Linked DNA regions of Arabidopsis thaliana. The protein of the gene in region 3 binds, or shares a complex with, the protein of the main gene of each other region. Each region holds a gene or a part of one and is shown on either strand. Other genes may lie near its edges. The genes, in order: HA1, PSKR1 and CNGC17.

What was found.
Region 1: CNGC17 (region 3) and HA1 share a complex: the UniProt entries of both Arabidopsis thaliana proteins name them as parts of the functional complex.
Region 2: CNGC17 (region 3) and PSKR1 share a complex: the UniProt entries of both Arabidopsis thaliana proteins name them as parts of the functional complex.

The regions. Positions count from the first base shown.
Region 1 is NC_003071.7:8,219,657-8,227,569, reverse strand, and holds the start of HA1 (H[+]-ATPase 1), read right to left. Parts: upstream 6,057-7,913; 5' UTR 5,713-6,056; coding exon 5,671-5,712; intron 5,418-5,670; exon of another isoform or gene 4,393-5,417; coding exon 4,273-4,392; intron 4,180-4,272; coding exon 3,943-4,179; intron 3,859-3,942; coding exon 3,097-3,858; intron 3,002-3,096; coding exon 2,879-3,001; intron 2,801-2,878; coding exon 2,696-2,800; intron 2,605-2,695; coding exon 2,460-2,604; intron 2,371-2,459; coding exon 2,206-2,370; intron 2,114-2,205; coding exon 1,875-2,113; intron 1,781-1,874; coding exon 1,748-1,780; intron 1,658-1,747; coding exon 1,576-1,657; intron 1,489-1,575; coding exon 1,328-1,488; intron 1,199-1,327; coding exon 1,025-1,198; intron 941-1,024; coding exon 758-940; intron 672-757; coding exon 490-671; intron 399-489; coding exon 302-398; 3' UTR 1-301. UniProt on the Arabidopsis thaliana protein: The plasma membrane H(+) ATPase of plants and fungi generates a proton gradient that drives the active transport of nutrients by H(+)-symport. The resulting external acidification and/or internal alkinization may mediate growth responses.
Region 2 is NC_003071.7:583,185-589,305, forward strand, and holds PSKR1 (phytosulfokin receptor 1), read right to left. Parts: upstream 4,218-6,121; 5' UTR 3,941-4,217; coding exon 914-3,940; 3' UTR 613-913; downstream 1-612. UniProt on the Arabidopsis thaliana protein: Phytosulfokine receptor with both a serine/threonine-protein kinase activity and a guanylate cyclase activity.
Region 3 is NC_003075.7:14,854,114-14,859,714, forward strand, and holds CNGC17 (cyclic nucleotide-gated channel 17), read right to left. Parts: upstream 3,907-5,601; 5' UTR 3,667-3,906; coding exon 3,638-3,666; intron 3,427-3,637; coding exon 2,670-3,426; intron 2,586-2,669; coding exon 2,287-2,585; intron 2,183-2,286; coding exon 2,071-2,182; intron 1,988-2,070; coding exon 1,751-1,987; intron 1,676-1,750; coding exon 947-1,675; 3' UTR 581-946; downstream 1-580. Other genes in the region: AT4G30370 (RING/U-box superfamily protein), read right to left, coding at 4,630-5,160. UniProt on the Arabidopsis thaliana protein: Probable cyclic nucleotide-gated ion channel. Forms a functional cation-translocating unit with AHAs that is activated by PSKR1/BAK1 and possibly other BAK1/RLK complexes. Required for PSK-induced protoplast expansion.

The DNA.
Region 1 (7,913 bases), on a different chromosome or scaffold from region 3:
AAAGAGTGATAGAATAATCACATTAGGCCATTAAAAAGCAAAGTGCCTTGTCTCTTCAAAGGCAAAGGGCCTTGTTTCTTCAAAGGCAAATTTGCAAAGCTCATATCGAGTAGGAGTTTTAAGAACAATGACTAACAATAACAAAAAGAAAAAAGAGTTTTGGAAGAGTTATGGCAATACACAAGAGTTCTCTTCCCTCTACTGTAATGACTTTTAAAGAGAGATTTGTGAAGACAAAACAAAAGATGAGTCATGATGGGGTTGGTTTTCGGTAAATGTTTGTGTTGTTGTGCAACTCCAACTACACAGTGTAGTGATGTCCTGCTGTATCAATGTCCAATCCCTTTAGCTTTGCGACTGATTCCACATGTCCCTTCAATGTGTGAAGCTCCCTAAGCCTGTCACAACATAATATTAAATCATTCACCAATCAGAACCTCTATCAAATGGCATCTTTCCGTTGAGATTCGTTTTAATCACACTACTTACCTAGCTATCTCGGCCCTTCTCTTGGCTTGCTCTGCGATCTCAGACAGCTCTCTGTAACTTCCTTTCTCTGGGAAGATATTAACATCTTCTTTTGGCTGCAGACCGTGCAATGTCCTTTGAGCTTGTGCCCATTGAGCTTCTCTTTCTCCAATACCGTAATCTTTCTTGGTTGTGAAAGCGGTCTGTTAACATAGAAGAAGATGTGATTAGTATGTTACCATCAGCTTGTAAAAGAGGTCTCTATAGTGGTAGATAGACTTGTATGTACCCTGTTGTCAAACAAGCTGGCCCAAGCCTTTCCACTCAAGATATACCGAATGGCAAACTTCAAAATGTCCTGTGGGAAGTATGTTACGATACTGTAAATCCAAATCACACCTGCCCATCCCCAACCGATACCCTTCACCTTTGCAAATGTCCAGTCGGCATACACTGCGATCAAAGTTGCAACCTGCATTTGGAAGGAGTGAATGAATTCAGTGGGTTTCTTTAACCTAATCGAAGTTCAGAAAATATGTGTGCTTGATGTCCTTACCAGTTGTGCAATGACGAATGCAATCATCAGAAGCGCCCCAGGACGTTCGACAAATGACCAACTCCTTGACCTGGTGACAAAGATTAGAGCTTGACTGATGATACTAACTTGTAGATACACAGCACCCATTAGTTCATCGTTATTGTCCCTGATTGACCTCACACCGAACTTGTCCTGCAAATCGAAGGTGAGACAATTTTTTAAGACTCAGAGCAAAAGGCCTGGCCATATATATCTATATAGTCCCTGAAGCACCTGTACCAAAAAAAAGAGAAAAGAAATGAAAATAAACTGATGATGTACCGAGAAAAAGTCGGTCTTGTGAGCAGCCCAGAAGAAAATAACACTCATAATGGCTTGGTAGCCTCCCAGCACAATTCCAGTGGCGAAAATTTCTTTGAGCTTCCAGCTATCAGGTGTGGGAGATGGCTTGACTCTGTCCTTTGAGATTGTCATGATAGTACCTAAAAGGTAGTAACACATAATACCATAAGATATAGCTGATAACGAGTGAGGACGCTGTCTAGAAAAGTAGGATGTTATTTGCTCACCATCATTAAGGATGGCAATAATCAGAACCATGAACGCTGAGAAGTCAAATTCCCATATCAAAGCAATAAGCATGAAACCAAACTGCAAGAGTTACAACGCAATATGATCAGTATACAAAAAGTAAAATCATGCTAAACAAGTGATAGATTTGTAAAACGGGTTTCTACTTACCACAATACGGATTGTGATTGAGACTGCATAAATCTGTCACAAGCAGGAAACTAAAATTATTAGTTTCCAGCGCAAACGAACACAAGTGGTGGGCATAATATATTAGAGTGAGATTAAGAATACGCACGGTGTAGTTCTTCATTCTCTGGAAGATAGCTCTGCTAGTGAGAACGGCACTGATGATGACACTCAGCCCAGGTTCCGTGAGGACGATATCTGAAGCACCACGAGCAGCATCTGTAGCATCGGCCACAGCAATACCGATATCTGCTTTCTTCAAAGCGGGTGCATCATTAACACCATCACCGGTCATACCAACAATGTGCTTCCTCTCCTGCAGCTTTTTCACAATTTCATATTTGTGCTCTGCAATCAGTAACCATAAGAACCTTGGATCAATATAACAAAACTTTATAATGAACATGTGATGAGGTTTGAAACTGAAAGCAAGGCATAACCTGGAAAGACGCCGGCAAACCCATCAGCCTTCTCGATCAACTCCTCAACAGGGATGGATGCAATGTTCGAGTCCTTGTCGGTACCGAGAAGAGCCGCAGATGGATACATATTGGTTCCCATTCCAAGCCTGCGACCGGTTTCCTTACCAATAGCAAGTTGATCACCTGGCAACGTAGTTAGAGCGCAAGTTAGGGGAAAACATCTAAATAACCATGGATTTCATGGGAAAAAAATGATGAATAAGAATAGTTACCAGTGATCATCTTCACATTAACACCTAGATTCAACGCCCTACGAATGGTTTCGGCACTGTCGTGTCTTGGAGGGTCAAAAAGAGGCAACAAGCCAACAAATTCCCATGGTCCACCTGGGCTTTCTTTTGTTTTCTCGGGTACCACCTAAAAAGGAATATGCAATTAAACAGTTGATTTACAGGCCAAAAAAAAAACCCAAATAAGACCAATGTAAAAATTGCTTGTAAAAAAGTACCTGACGAGCTACTGCCAACGACCTAAGACCGCGCTCAGCGTACTTGTCAATACAAGAGAGTACCTTCTTCCTAAGGTCAGGCCTGGCATTGGCAAGGTCAAGGATCTGTGTGGGAGAATCGAATTAGTACACAGAATAAAGGAAAAACGCAACATCTTTAGGAGAAAGTTGAAGATTCATCACCTGCTCGGGAGCACCTTTGCTGACTCTGTGCCAGTTACCATCAGAGTCGATGTAAGTCAAAGCAGTTCTCTTATCCACAGGGTTGAATGGAAGGAAGTGAACCTCTCTGATTCCAGCTCGGGCCTATGAAAATCCAAGTGAAACATAAGAAATTAAGAACTTGTTTTCTCGACCTTTCACTAAACTAAAGAAGTAATTCAAAATGATTAGAGTTATACCTCTTTCGGATCAGCAAGCATTCCAACCATGGCTGCATCAATAGCGTCCTGGTTCTCCACCCTAGAAGCCATAGCTGCAAATAGTAGAACTTGATCTTTCTCCACACCCTTGCAGAAAACCTCAACCAAGTTTTTATCCACACTCAATTTATTAAGGGTTAGTGTCCCGGTTTTGTCACTGCAAAGGACATCCATTCCCGCCATTTCTTCAATGGCTGTCATACGTTTGGTGATAGCACCTTGCTGAGACAACCTGTGAGACCCGATAGCCATAGTCACAGACAAGACCGTGGGCATAGCAATGGGGATACCACCGATCAAGAGGACCAAGAGATTGTCAATTCCATCTCTGTACTTTCGGTGTTGGATAGGGTACATGACGACTATTTCAATCGCTATACCAATAGCAATAGAACAGATACAGAAGTTTCCAATGGATGTAAGAACTTTCTGGAAGTGCCCAACTTGGTTAGTGCTGTCCACAAGGTGAGCAGCTTTACCAAAGAAGGTGTGAACTCCAGTGGCTATAACAACCGCTTCGATTTCTCCTTGTTTACAAGTTGAACCAGAGAAAACTTCTTGACCAGGGTGCTTGGTCACAGGAAGGGACTCTCCAGTTAGAGCAGACTGATCAACCTTTAAAGGATCTCCTTCAAGAAGACGGGCATCGGCTGGGATAATGTCTCCAAGTTTAATGCTAACAATATCACCTGGGACAAGGATAGCAGCCTCTTGTTCACTCCATTTTCCATCCCTAAGAACCTGAAAACAGAGAAACAGGTTAAGCTCTCTAGAAGTCTCGAAATATCTTGTACAGTAATGTCACAGCATCCACCAACATATTACCTTGGTTTTAGGAGCAAGACCAGCCATGAGAGCAGCTGCAGCATTTCCGGCGTTGTTTTCTTCAATGAAACTGATTGTGGAGTTGATAACAAGCAGACAGATAATACCCACAAAATCTTGCCAATCCGGAGGTCGATTATCACCATTAGCCAAAGCAATGGCCATGAGAGCTGCAGCTTCCATAACCCATGAAAGCGGATTCCACATGAACCCCAGAAACTTCAGAATTTTGCTTTCCTGATATTTTTTTACGAAAGATCAACCTCGTGAGTTAAACAAAACCAAAGCTTTCAATGATGATAAAACAACAATGCTAAGTCAAACTCAAACCTTCTTCTCTTCGAGCTTGTTGGGGCCAAATATCACAATCCTGTCTTCCCCTTCCTGCGTTGTCAATCCTTCCCTTGTACATTTTAGCTGCTGGAAAACTTCCTCAATCGGAATTTTTTCCTGAGAATCAAAGCAAAAGTTTTGATCAGAACCCAAACAATAGTAACTCAAACATCAAACAAGAACAAAAGGGTAAAAAAGACAAAAACTTTTCTAGTTTTGAAATCTTTTTACAAATGTCAGAAACGATCCAACTCGGCGACTCGGAAGATGAAGAGTGGCGTTGACTCAAGTTGTGACAATGAAAGGTGAAAAGAATCTGGCAGTGGAGGATAGAGGGACCACCACCACCACCACCACTACTACTACTACTTCAATGCACGTGTTATGGAACGTGTAACACACGCGCCTGCGGGATTCCCTCCATGAAAGGTGGCTACTTTCCGGCGTGAAAGCCAAAGTCCGGTTAAGGGTATTTCGGTCATAAAACAATTTCACTAAACAAAATCAATTACAATAGAGGAATTCACAAGTTGCTTCTACTGATAGATGTTTTACAAAAGGACAAAGAAGTTCAAAAAAAAAAAAAACGTACTACGGAAAGGTACATCAAAAAAATTCGAACATCAACAACAATTTAAAAAAAAGTTGAAAACTTAAATTTATTAAAAACTCTGGTATTTTTCATGGGTGGAAGATAGAAGAATATTATGAACTGCTTTAACATCAAAAACGTTATCTTTACAAAAAAAAGATGATTTTTTTTAGAGAAAGAAAGTTATATATCACAAGCAAAATCAAACTTTTTGCGATTTTTTTCTCTTTTAATAAATATGTGAAAGAGACTTTTGTTGAGACGTAGCTTAAGCTTAGCTCCACCACTAAAAAGACTTATCTTTTTATTCAGCGTTTCACATGTGTGTAGTTTTTGGGTAGATCTACTTTTTCTGATGAACAGTATCAAAATCTACTTATTTTTGGCTTAATACCTAAAACCTTTAAAAGACATCTGTTATTTTACCCTAATTTTAGACCAAAATTAATAAAGTTGGAATCTTGATTTGGGTTTTGTATAGGATCCATGATAGAATCATCGAAAATGAGGCAGATACAATTGGGGGGAAAAATCGGTTTTTTTTTTTTTTGCGGATTTTTCGGGTTCTTGAGGAATTAAGATTCAGTTTTCGATCAAAGAAAAAAGGAGTAGAATCATCGGAAAATGATTTGAAGAAAAAAGGGTAAAAGAATCAAACGTGAAACCATGCAAGGAACAACAACGAAACAGATCTATTTCTCATTCAAGCAAATCATCGAACACTTTGTGGGCATGATGAATAAACACTAAAAATGAAATTAAAAACTCGAAGAATTTAAGCGAGAAGAGAATCGAAATAATACCAGATCAACGGTCTCGTTCTTGATATCTTCGAGACCTGACATCTTCACCCAGAAGAAATCAACAAAACGACGCCCCTCTCTGTCGTTTCACCACTCGATCACACACACACACACGAGAGAGAGAGAGAGAAAGCGAGCTTCTGTTGCAGAGGAGATATACGCCTTCTCTTTTTATAACCACTCAAAACGACGAAACTCTCCACCGTTTCAGACTTTTATTTTTCATTCATTTCGACCGTTGATTATGATTTGGTGATCATCAATGGTTGTTAATTGTTTATGGGTCCTTTCTCACTTGGAAAACGTATATTTGACTTTGGATTTTTGGTTTTATAATTAAAATTTCAGATATCATACTGTTTTTTGAAACATTGTTTACTTAAACTGGTTTTATACTCTGATCCTGTAATGTAAGAGAATCTATATTTATTTTTTTCTATTAAGAGAAACTTTTTACTTTTGAGTATCAAATTTAGTAGAAATCTTAACATTAACACAAATTTAGGATAATATACTAAACTTACATAAGAAATTTAATTCTATGGAGTTAGTATTTTTCTAGATATTTATGCATATTAGAATATGATTTAAAAGACAAAACTGTAATGTATAGATTTTAAAAAATTATACAGTATTGAATTATCATAAGAAAAATATCTAAGATAAATTTAAATTTTTGATTAATATTGTGGTTATGTATGGACAGAAAATATGCACAATCATAAGTTCTTCACTGATATCTTTTTGTGTATATAAAATTGATAATCAATAAGGAAAAATAATATACATAATAATTATATGAACATTGAATAATGCTTAAAATTTGGGTTCTTTTTTGTTCCCAAAGAGTTGTGCAAAGCTAATCTTAATGACTTCTATATAAGTTACTCATTTTGAAGGAAAAAAAAAACAAACAAAATTTAAAATACATACATGGATTTGTGAATATACATATATATATATATATATATATATAGAGAGAGAGAGAGAGAGAGAGAGAGAGTAATATAGATATAACATGTATATTTGATATATGTGTGTAGATACTAACTTTATAATTCCCTATGAGACAAATGCAAAAGTTATTTTCTAGATCAACCTAATTTGCTCATAAGTTTAATTTTCATGTTGATTGTTTAGGTCGGACTTTTAAATCAAAGTGTTTTTAAAACAATTCGTATGTAAACATTTTTCCTTCGGATTATACAACCAATCAAAAAGTTGAATTTTAATTAATTTGTAATTGGAAAATTAAAATCAACCCGTATAATACTAATTTGTTTAATAATATGTTAAATAATAGTGGCGAAGTAGAAACCGAGAAAATAAAAATTTAAATGATAATTACTAATTGAGATAAAAAAAACTAAATATTTTCTAAGTTTAGTGAAACATAAAGTTAAAATGACGATTCTAAAACACTATTTAAGAATACCGATGTTGAAAAGAGATGTTCATAAATTTATTACTGATGTTCAAATAAATTAACTTGACCTGTTTTAAAGGTGGTGAGTACACTAAATTAACTTGATTTGGTCTCTTAAGGAAATTAAAAGACAAGTGTGAAAAAAAAAAAAAAAATTAAAAGACAAGTTTCTTCCAGAAAAAGGGATGTTTTGAAATATAAAATTAGGTTTAGACACAGATTATAAAATTTAGGAGTTTGGGGGAAAATATTCAGATGACGTCGATCTAAAACTATAATAAAACACATATTAAGCTAGTAATGATATAAAACAATTTGTTATATGTGAAATTTTGGTAATCCTAATCTCATATTTATGGCTTTAAAGGATTGTAATGAAGCAATGGCTCTTCCAAGGTGCCTCATGGCAAGGTCAGCAATTGCTGGAACAATTCACATGTTTGTGGATATCATTATTTTTGTAATTTAACCAAAAATTGTTTTCAAGGTTATTTATTTATTTATTCAGCAAATTGGCTGATGAATATTGACTTTTTGATCGTGCTGGGTCCCCCAATAATACACCTCCCCTACGTAATTTTTTTTTCTTGCTTCCATAAATTCGATTGTATTTTATCTAAAAGATCGATTTCATAAGAGAATTTTAAAAACAAAGAAACAAGAAGATGATGGTTTAATTCAACTGGATATATATCGGCACATATGGGCAGGTTTTTCTCATTTATTATTTGATCATTTATGTATCTGATAGACAAAATCAATTTAACTTTCATAGGTAAATACATAAAAGTATTTATTTAAATGTGTATGCTTTTTT
Region 2 (6,121 bases), on a different chromosome or scaffold from region 3:
CAAAAAGTCAAACTAAACCGTATGATTTAAATGACATTTTGAAAAGTTCATGCTTTTTTGTCTCAAATTTAAAAGTTTATGCATTTTTCGATATTTTTTTTTATATTTATCATCATACATAAGTTTTAAACTTTTAATGCTCTTTTTCTTTTTCCTTGTATTTTATTTGTTATATTTTTGGCTGTTTTCATGTAGTGTGGAAGAAAAGCCAGAAGTGAACATCTTCACTATCGAATCTGTAGTCAATCTTTGAAAATTTTTAAGGAACCATTATAGGAAGCGTACTAATCTATAAATTTGTGGTCTTTGGGGACTGAGAAATCGATATATAGAAAACCTTTCTAATGAAGCAAATATTATATTTTGACCTTACAAAGTCATAATCTTTGAATTCTTTTGGTCAAATGAGTTGAACAATATTTTCACACCCATAAAAAATAAGTTAATGTAATGGATTCTTAACAAAAAATTGACTATAGTTGGCCAAAAGGAATTCTTTTGTTGAAGACCAAAAGGAATTTAGCTACCAAATATATATATTTTTTAATTAAACCAAAAATCTCTAAAAGGTATAACATAATCAACAGAGTATCCACAAAGCAAATCACAGAATAAAGATGTAACACAAATTATTAATCTATGTTGCTCATTTAAATTGCTTGAGACATGTTTTTTCAAGAACTCATTATTTCTGAAACACTACAAAAAGATTTTTCATTTTTCTGAGACAGTATATGTTCTGTCTAGTATCTTTAATGTCTGAATCTGAATCATAAACTGAGATAAAAAAAATGGAAGAAGAAAACGAAGAAACAAATTATTATCTGAAAACTATTTACATTGTATCTCAAAAGTATGAAAATCACTCCCTACAAAATGTATCATAGTGTCTCTGATATTGTTCCTCTTTCTTCTAGACATCATCAAGCCAAGAGACTAACTGTTGAGTCGTTGGCCTCTGTTTCGGGTTTTCGCTTAAACATAAACAAGCAATCTCGAGAACCCGAAACATCTCTTTATCATTCTCTTTACTGTATATTAACGGATCGAAAACCTCGCTTGCTCGACTCTCATGCTTCATCTTGACGACCCACGAGATCAGATCCCTACACCCTTTCGGTTTACACATATCCACCGGTCTTTTATCGGTTAAAAGCTCGAGAAGCACAACTCCGAAACTATACACATCGCCTTTGTAAGTAGCAACCGAAGCTTGCCCGTATTCCGGAGGAATGTAACCTAAAGTTCCAACCAAATCAGTACTTACATGCGTCTCGTAAGGACTCATCAGCCTTGCGAGTCCGAAATCCGCTAAATGAGAGTTGAAATTCTCGTCGAGAAGAATATTACTCGATTTAATATCGCGGTGTAAGATATGAGGATCACACCCTTCATGCAAGTAAAGTAACCCTTTTGCAGCACCTTGAGCGATTCTAAGACGTGTTTTCCACTTCAACAACGCTGGACCGTCGTTACGCTCGTGTAGCCAATAGTCTAAGCTTCCGTTTTCCATATACGAGTAGATTAAAAGCCGGTCGTTTTTGTAGAAACAGAATCCTCGGAGAAGAACAAGATTTGGATGCTGTGCTCTTGAGAGTGTTTCAACTTCTGCTTCGAATTCTCTTTCGATTTGACCGCAATCACCGGATAACTTCTTGATCGCAACTTTCTTACCGTCTGGTAACGTTGCTTTGTAAACCATACCAAACCCGCCACAGCCAATGATGTTAGCTTGATCAAAACTATTTGTTGAGTCCAAAAGGTCATCATAAGAGAGCTCTTTATCATTGCTCTGAAACAAAACCACAAGCTTAGATCCAATCTCTCCGAGTTCTTTACGATTCATGCTCTCGGATTCTTCTATCTCCGGATCAACTTCTCCTGACCGTCTACGAGCACGCAACACAATCAACGAGAGAAGAGTCAAAAGAAAAACCGAACCAAACGCTATCCCAATCGCCATTCCAATGTCACCTCCTCTGCTTCTTCTTGACCGTTTGATCAATGCACTCTCAGTACCTTCAGAACAGGGGAATCTGTGTTCCCCGCAGAGATGGTTACTCTCAAAGCTCGAGTTTGGAAACGTCTGAAACTGACCACCGGAAGGTATTACTCCCGAGAGATTGTTATAAGCAACACTGAACTTCGACAGAAACGAGAGCTGTTGCAGAGAAACCGGGATCGAACCCGAAAGACGGTTATTAGAGAGATCAAGAGCTTCCAAGCTCGTCATACCAGAAAGCGAGCTAGGTATTGATCCAGATAATGCATTCCATTTCAAATCAAACACATGAAGCTTCTTCAGATTACCAAACTCCTCCCAAATAGGTCCAGAGAGATTGTTATGACCAAGCTCAATCGTTGGCGGGAACCCGAAAATCTGATTGTATTGCAACGCTCTCGCGCTCTCGTTTCTTTTCATAAAGAACGGGAAATCAGGAGATGGCTCATTGACTGAGATATTACGGCTAGTGAGACTCTCTAACTTAGTTAAGCTCTTAGGGATCTCTCCTGTAAACGAGTTGTTAGATAAATCCAAGTAGAACAGAGCCTTGAAGTCACCAATCCAGCTCGGGATAGCGCCGGTTAAACGGTTCCAAGAAAGATCCAACAACTGAAGTTCATTACTCGAGCTTAACCACCTCGGCATCGAACCAGTAAGCCTACAATTCGCCACTACAAGCACCTTAAGCTTCTCGAAATGAAGACTTGAATCATCGGGTAAAGCCTCTCCATGGAAATTCAATGTAAGAACCAAAGTCGTCAAGTTCTTGCAATGCTGAAGTATCCCAAGCGCTGAAGAGATATTAGCCAAACTCGAATTCGATAACGAGAAGTAAGATAAGCTCTCGAAGTTCTTGAAACTCTCTGGTACTTGTCCATGGAAGGTGTTCCTCGCGAGGTTAACGTTCTTTAACCGCTTGCAATCCGGTAGATTCTCAGGTAACCTCCCATTGAATCTATTGGTACCTAAATCAAGAGAGTTCAAAGCAATCATCGCCGTACAATTCAACATCAAACGACCCGATAAAGAATTGTTCCTCAAGTTAAGCAGATTCAAACTCGGTGAATTCGCCAACGATTTAGGTATTCCTCCAATGAATCCATTGGTCTGACCTAAGAAAAACTTTAACTGAGGCAATTCGTCGAACACATCAGGGATTTCACCGGAAAACAAATTCCAAGAAACATCAAGACGAACAAGACTTGAGAGATTCCTAATCTCACGACTCAACGAACCAGAGAGACGATTCTCTTGAATCCCTAAAAGATTCAATCTTTTGAGATGAAACAAATCCTCAGGGATGTTACCAGTAAGATCGTTCATACCAAGACAGAGATGCTCAAGCAAGACACATTTCCCAAACCCGGAAGTGAAGTTTCCGGCGAAGTAGTTCACCGCAAGTTTCACAACCCTAATTTGAGTAGAGTTATGGCAGATATGAGACGGAAGCGACCCATTGAATTTATTTGAAGAAAGATCAAAACTTTGCAGAGCTGGGAGATTTATACTTGTTGGGATTCCGCCGGAGAGATCATTAGAGCTCAAATCAAGAGTTTGTAGATTCTTCAAGTTGAAAATCGAAAGAGGGATCGAATCTTTGATGAAGTTTCGAGAGAGATTAAGAACCCTAATCTCATCTAGCTTCCCGAGAGATTCAGACAACTTCCCCGACAGCTTTTTGTTCCCAAGCTCCAATCTAATAACTCTTCCGGTGTTGTTTGAATTGCAGGTGATTCCGGTCCAGTTGCAGCAGTCTGTAGAAGAAGAAGAATTGATCCAACCATCTGGTTTTGGTTCGAGATGTGCTATGAAGTCACGTAAGGCTTCGAGGTCATGTGGATGGCACCTGGAGGTGGTCTGAGATTCCGAGGAATAGAAGAAACATAGTAACTCTGTGAGGAAGATGACGATCACACAAAAACGATGAACACGCATTTCAAGAACAGAGGAAGAAGAAGAAGAATATAAAGGAAGAAACTTTGAGAGAAGAATTAAGATTCAACAAAAACCCTTGAGAAATCTGAGAGTATACGAAACGGGTTTTCTGATTATTGCCATTTTAGATGATGATCAATGAAGATGAAGAAGCAAGAGAGAGAAAAATGGCGACTTTTGACTTCAACACGCAACAGCAAGTAGTGGGTGTTGTTTTAATGCAAGCAAAATTCTAGAGAGAGATAGAAAGTGGAAGAGTTGTGTTTGGTCTTTTTTCTGATACAGAGCAAACAGTAAAAATCTTTAAATAAAGAAGAAGAAGAAATAAGAAGCTTTGAATAAATATTATTTTTCCAAATATTTTGTGAATTAATTTGTGTTTTTGGAAAATTTGTTATAGACAAATCTTTTCCGTGTTTTGTCAATTATAATTGAGTGTGTTTAGTCATATATGAAGTCTTAATCAATAACATTGACTTAGGAAAGTCTTTCTCTAAATATTTTTTTTATTTTTTTGTCTAAATCTTTTACTTTGAATAGTTTGTCGTTCAACGGATAGGCAGAAGAAAATTTGGAACGATTAATGAATAATGAATGATGAAAGTGATCGAATTTAGAAAAATATATGCAAAATTATGTGACTATAAATGTTTCTTTATGGTTTTTTGCCGATTATTCTGCAAATGGTAGATTTATATTTTAGTAGTTTCTATGCAATAAAAAGGTAAAGGAGTAGCTTTTATTAATTATATTGATTTTATTTTGCAAATGGTTAATTTTTATATTAAAATTTGATTATGGGTTAATTGAATAATAATTAAAGATGACCGGAGAAGAAGGGAGTGACCGGTTAGGTCAGCTTTGAGGATTTAAGATGAGGACAAGAGAAAAGATAGAAGTCAAAGCACGGACGTTGACACCTTTGCATCTCTCTCTCTTCTCAACTACAATTTTTTTTTTTTTCTATTTACATTAATTATTGACATTGTTTCTCTTTTTTCGCAAGTTGATAATGAATGAAAATAGACCTACTAGATATTCTTTAGTTTCCGATAAAAGCTTCGGAAAAAAATCTTGAGTTTTTTCCATAAAATCTTGAAATACTTCAAAGAGGAAGGTTATCAACTTAATTGTTGTATTTGTTGGTTAAAAGAATCTAATATAGGAGCTATTTTTTTTTAGCTATTTACATGTCCAAATCAATACGTTATAATTCCAATCAAATTACTAATATTAATTTCATATGACCGGACTTGTATAACTTGAAGTTTATAATATCACTATACAATAACTTGACTTCTAATTTAGAAGTATAACTATAAAAGTGTAACGTATGTGAGTTGTAGACGATAAAAAAATAAAAGAACGGTTATATATAAACTATTTTATATTTTATATAAAAGAAACTAAAAAATAGTCGGTATAGGAACATAAATTTCATTGCTTTTTTCTTCAGTTTTTTTATCACCAATTTTCATTGCTAAAGGATTATTTTTTGTCGTTAATACTTTTTTCTTTTAAAAACGACAAATTTAGGATGCGTTAATATTACTTTTATATGTAACGCTATCCTAAATTTTGTCGATAGAATCCGTTATTAATTAATTGGAAAGAATCGAAAAAAAAAAATTAATCTTGGCAGTTAAAAAATGGATTCTCTTATACCTTTGTAGTAATATACACGTTATAGATTGTTCGAAAAAAAGAAAAGGATAATAGATTGTCATTTTAACAAAATAAAACCAAAAAGTCTCACATTTTCTTGCCATGATTTATTTCTTAAAGAAAAATAGGCTGTTTACACAACTTTCTTTGATGGTTTACTTGATTTATAAGTAAATGAGGACAATATGGGTGAATGGTGAATTGAACATAGACATAAAAGACTATATTGCTTAATAAACTAATTAGCCTACATTCAAAGTTGGTTTACCATATAAGAAATCACTTATATAGTTTTCCTAGTGTGTGCATGATCTTTCATAAAGAGATTAAATATTGTTTTACGTGGAAAAGTTAAGATACGATTCCATGTTAATAATAAAATATTAATGTCGATATCTATAATGAAGGAGACAGTCAAAGCATGTGACATCGACTATTCAACTCTATAATTAATCTTCAATACCATGTGGCTCGTAATGGCTTCGATATAATCGGCTTTCGTTAGTCTTTTATAGG
Region 3 (5,601 bases):
ACACACTATAAGGTACAACTACTATGTCATCTCTTAATATATGCATGCATGTTTAAAAATTTCACATATTAATAAACGATTCAAAATATTAATATATGTTACTATAATTATGATTGTTGAAAACCATTGTTTTCATGATTCAGTTTCCGTTCAATCTAACTTCTTGTGCCATACTATATTGTTATTGTCATTCAAGACCATAAAATTTATTTGTATATTATATGGGACAAGAAATTTTCAGAAACTTTTCAATATGTTAGTTTAAAATATTTACAACTTTTTAAATCGACTAAGAATCCATGATTACATTGAGCTGGTCTTGTGGCCATATTGCAAAAAGAAAAATCCCAAATATGTATGTAATCCTGTAATGTAGATTATGATTTGATCCGACATATCTAGGTCAGTAGAGAAAGCAAGTAAACATTTTAACTTTTTCCCATGGACCAAAGTCCAAACTCATCATTAGTATGATCTTATGTCTATTGATTAAGTGAGTCTACCTTTCTTTAAAAAGAAGCTTGTGTCGATAGCAATATGCAACATGCTCAAGAAAATATATTTTTTCTTTCTTTACCATCTTATTCTCAACGTTACAGTAAGTCAGTAACCACGGCATATAGGGGCTTTGACGAATGGGCTTAGACATCTTTTTACTTCCTTGTTGGTTCAATCAATTTTGCAAGGTTTGATGTGATTTGTACATAATCCACTTCAACTTCCTCATCTTTACATTTAGAGAATTTAGAAACGAGTTCTTTAATAGTACAACAAAACTAATTCTCCAAGCTTATATTACAAAAGATGTTTAAGTGTACAAACCAAAACCCGCCTTGAGTTTCTTTCTTTATGTCTCCCAAAGGAACAGGAAACTTACTCTGTAGTGTTCTTGTCATTAAGATCTTCTATGGAACAAAGTCAGCTTCTTCTCCTGGTTATACATCAGTCAATCATCATGCTCAGCAGAGAAATCAGGCTCCTCGGGTTTCTTAAACCGGGGTAATTCTACATCCTTAACTCTCTGAGCTGCAACACCGCGTCTTGTATTAGCTGCAAAACGCGATGCCAAAACCATAACTCCAAGGTTCATCTTTGTTCTAGGACTCTCCTCAACACACTCTTCTTCTTCTACTACTACTAATTCTTCTCCTACTTCTCCTTCTTCATTTTCCATTGATTCAATCGCAGTGAGGTTATTCTCCATAACTCTTCTCTTGTACCTGCGCCAAGCCGCTTGTATGAAGCAAGCAGCCCAAGTTCTCCAATGGTGAGAGTAGAATCTGAATGTATGTTGAAGCTTCTTGCTGTGTAACCGCCTAAACTGATTTGCAACAAATTTCAAATCTTCAGCTCGAAGAGCGAATGCTTCGACTTCAACTAAAGCCCTAACTGTTCTTGTAGAAGATGGTAAATTCAAGGTTGATTTTGGAAGCAAAGCCCAAGAAAGAAGCTCTTCCCCACAGAAATCTCCAGGTCTAAGTATAATCGAGTTGAAGAAACCGGTTCTGCCTCCATTGGTTGTGGAACTCTCGAGTCTACCTCTGATGATGAAGAGCATCTCTGAGATCAAGTCACCTTCACGTACAAGGTAAGTCCCTTCAGTACACAGAGAAGAAACCAGGCGCTCACATATCGCATCAAGCAGCTGATCATCCATTTGAGAGAAAAATGGGACCTGCATGATTCAAGATAGTAGTTAACCTAAAAGTTGAACCATTTGTAGGATAAACAAATCAATAGAAAAACTTACTCTTCGAACAAGATCTAAACATAGGTGACGTTGAATATCACGGCGAAGATCAGTGGGTAAACTTTGCAGGAGAACCTCTTCATCGACTCCTCTTGTTGCAAGCCACTTATACTGCTCATATCGCCTCACACGGTTTCTCAACTCTTCAGGAAGTTGACGATGTCTCATCCACTCCTCAGTGTCTCTCTTCTTCAATCTCCATTCCTCAAGCCGTACAGTCAAAGATTGCAGATATGTCTAACAAACAAAAGGCAAAACCCAAGAAACATAAGAACAAAAGCAGATACTTTTAGAACTTATCCTAACGCAGGAATCCATACCTGCATATTCCCAATGAGATGGGCAAAGAGGACAAGACCAAAGATTGCAATGAGAACAGCAAATGTGGTTTCGCCCATGAACATGGTCGTGGACAAATTCTGTCCATAAGAACTAGAATATGACAATAACAGGAAAATGTCATCAGATTCTAAAACTTGTAATCAAAAGGAGAGTAATAATTGGTATCAAAAAATTTCTATGATCTCTGCCATTACCTAAGCTGCTGCAATCCCCACCACAAACAGTAGAAATATCTCTCGAAGAACTGTGAAGACACAACGTTTTTCGTGATTGCATTCCCAAAGATCCCATACTTGAACTCGCCATTCCGTGCATCACAGAGTTTAAACACTTTTGTGACATTTGCCCAAGTCATCTGATTATTGTCATACATTGAATCACAGTCTAAGTAATATAGCTGACAATTAACTTGGCCAGCTTCACCATTGCATCTTGATTTCCAGCACGATGTATATCTATCAACCGATAATATATACCAGGCTGCACCAAGCACCTGTCCCAACAAAAACATTGTAGCTTTGATTATCATCACATTTAAGGAATGAAATAATGGAAGAAGAAGGAATGGGATTCATACATGACTAGCCAGCATGTATAGCAAAAGATTATAAGCAGCTCCAGCCCAAGCAGTCTTTGTAACAACTCCAGTTGCTTTAACAATTTGAGAACTTAACGGAATTATCAAATAGAATCTTGGGATGTATTGGAGGAGCACAATCAAAGCAATAGCATTGTTGTTATGATCAAACCGGTAACTTTTTGTAGTCGATATAACAAACCAGATAACTATCTGTGGAAGTGGTAACGTCGCAATGAGATCGATGATGAAGTCAGATTTAATATACCTCCAAGCAATAGCCTTAGGATCCATCACAAGCTCACCTCTACCAAACACTCTAGTACTTGAATTAGGCGCAATGAAACCAGTCCTAAACTTAATGAAAATGTGCAGCAAGTAGAAAAGATCCGCTATTGTCCTGAAGAAAGTAACAAGGATGCTTAAACTTGTATCAGTCCTTGCACAAGGATAGTTTTTATCTCCTCCTATAGCTGGGACAAAGAAGTACAACGGGTCGATGAAGAGAGCAACCATACATGAGACAATGAAGACCCAATTCCATTTCAAGACAATCTCACTTCCTGGATCAAGAATAGTCTTGTACCATGAGACTTTAGAAGATTTGGACTTAGAAGCATCAGTGTATCTAAGTCTATTTCCAGGTAAGAGATTATCAGGTCTTAGTGCTGAAGGTAAAGAGAGCTTATAAGATTTGCTCATTGGATCATTCACTGCCCATTTAGCTTCTTTGCTTTCTTTCCCCTCTGAGTAAAACCTACAAAGCAATACACAACTCAAATCTGTAATCTGAAACCTAACTAGAGATTTAAGTTAAACCCAGTACCCAAAATCGGAGCTTGAGCTTGTAACATCTAAAGAAGAGATAAATCTAAAGCAAAGTCTAGAATTTTTAATTTCTGGGCAATCAAAGTTGAAGACTTTCAGGAACGTAAGTCTAACCGACGGATGAGAGAAAGAAAACTTACATAAGAAGCTTGTCCTTCCTTAACTCCATTAGAAGAAGCTCAAGCTCAAGCTCGAGTAAACAAATCTATGCAAATTAGAATTAACAGAAGCTTTTAAAAATCATTTCTTTGATTCGTGTCTCTGACACTCTCTCACTCTTACTCTCTCTAAATCTGAGAAAGATCGTGTTTTTGTTTAGTTCTTCCGGAGAGGATTGGAAGAGGAGAATCACTGAGTCACGGGACGAGTCAGAAATCGGAGGGATATTTGTTTTTTTTTCTTGGGAATACTTGAGCCATCGGTATAAGACAAGAAAGTCAACACATTTGACTAAAGTGACATTATTTCGTTAATCAAAGTCATTATTAGTTTACAATACAAAACACTAATTAGACAATGTTACTTGTTACTTCACAAAAACACTTCTTTAGTCTTATAGTCAGATCCAATCACAATCACTTTCTCCGTGTGAGTCACAATCTCACATTCCAATCAGAAAACGATTCTTTAGCCTCCTTTATTTTTATGTTCAATATAAACTTTTGAATCACACACTTGAAAACATAGTTGACATAACTTTGGAGGTGAAGTAGGTAAATTAAAATCACATGAACCAAGCTTTACTTAGAACTTATACTTCATCATGGACAAATTGAAACAGAAACATTGATGATTAACCACTGAATCTCAAGTGAAATTATGAGAAATCATTAAGGTAACATAAGCAACATGTTTAAAGTGACAAATGGACAACATTTCTATCAGTAATTGACTAGATTGAATTTAATAATTGGCATGATAATCAAACCTCAAACTAAGTTAAATTCTACAGAAACCCATCATTCTCTTATTGGATCAAATTCATCAAACGGTGAAGAAACAAGCTTTCAATTGTGAAGCCGTGTAAAAAAAAAAAAAAGACACTGTACATGACTATTGATGAAAACCAAAATTGCTGCTAAATATGATAACAAACTAAACACACTTTCAAATCTAATTATAAAACCACCGATCAAAAAATTTCACCTTGTGGTCTCCATCTTCTTCCTTCTTCAAATCTATAAACCCTATCCCTACAAATCGGACAAGTCGAGACTTTAATCAACCACAAGTCCACACACTTTCGGTGAAACACATGTCCACATCGAGGCAGCTTCCGACACCACTGTCCTTGTCTAAATCCATCGATACAAACAACACAATCATCGCCTCCGTACTCTGAACTAGGCTCACAATACTTGAATTGAGGAAGCCTCTTCACGCATCTTGGAGATAACCCATCTGAGTATTCGTGACGGCGATGGCGGCGGAGACGGTGGCGATAGTTTCGTTGAAGAAACCAGTAGAAAGCGAAGAAGAAGGTGAAACCGAGAGACGTGAGGATAAAGATAAAAGCGGTTATAGCTACAGGGATCATGATTAGACCTATGAGGAAGTTAGAGAGAATCTTCGTCGGTAGATTCTTCGTGTTCGCTTTTGGCGGCGGTGGAGACGGTGATGGCTCGCGGGAGATTGAGCCATCGTAGGGAATCGTTATCGACATCGACTTGCGGCGGAGATTAAAAATATTCTCTTTTACGAATCAAACTCTAATACTCTGTTTTAGGGCTAAATAAAGGAGAGATTTTTATGGATTTTGAAGATCGAAAATTTATCGGATTCAAAGTATATTGTACAAAAGAGTTTGTCTGATAGATATTTATATGCGGGAATATTCGGACATCTTTTTTATATCAGTTTTTGACGATAACTTTTTAACTAGTTTTGGCCCTTATGAGAGGAACTCGTGAGCAAAGTCTTTTTTTTTATATACCAAATTTTTCATTAAATTGATTAAATTTAACTAGAAAGAAGAAGATTAAGCGTATATAAACACAAATACACAGACACGTTTTAAAACAATGGGGTTCTGATAAATTATGTTACTAAATTTTGATCATACAGAATGTAGTTTGGCGTTACAAGAAAACTAGAGGAGAAAACA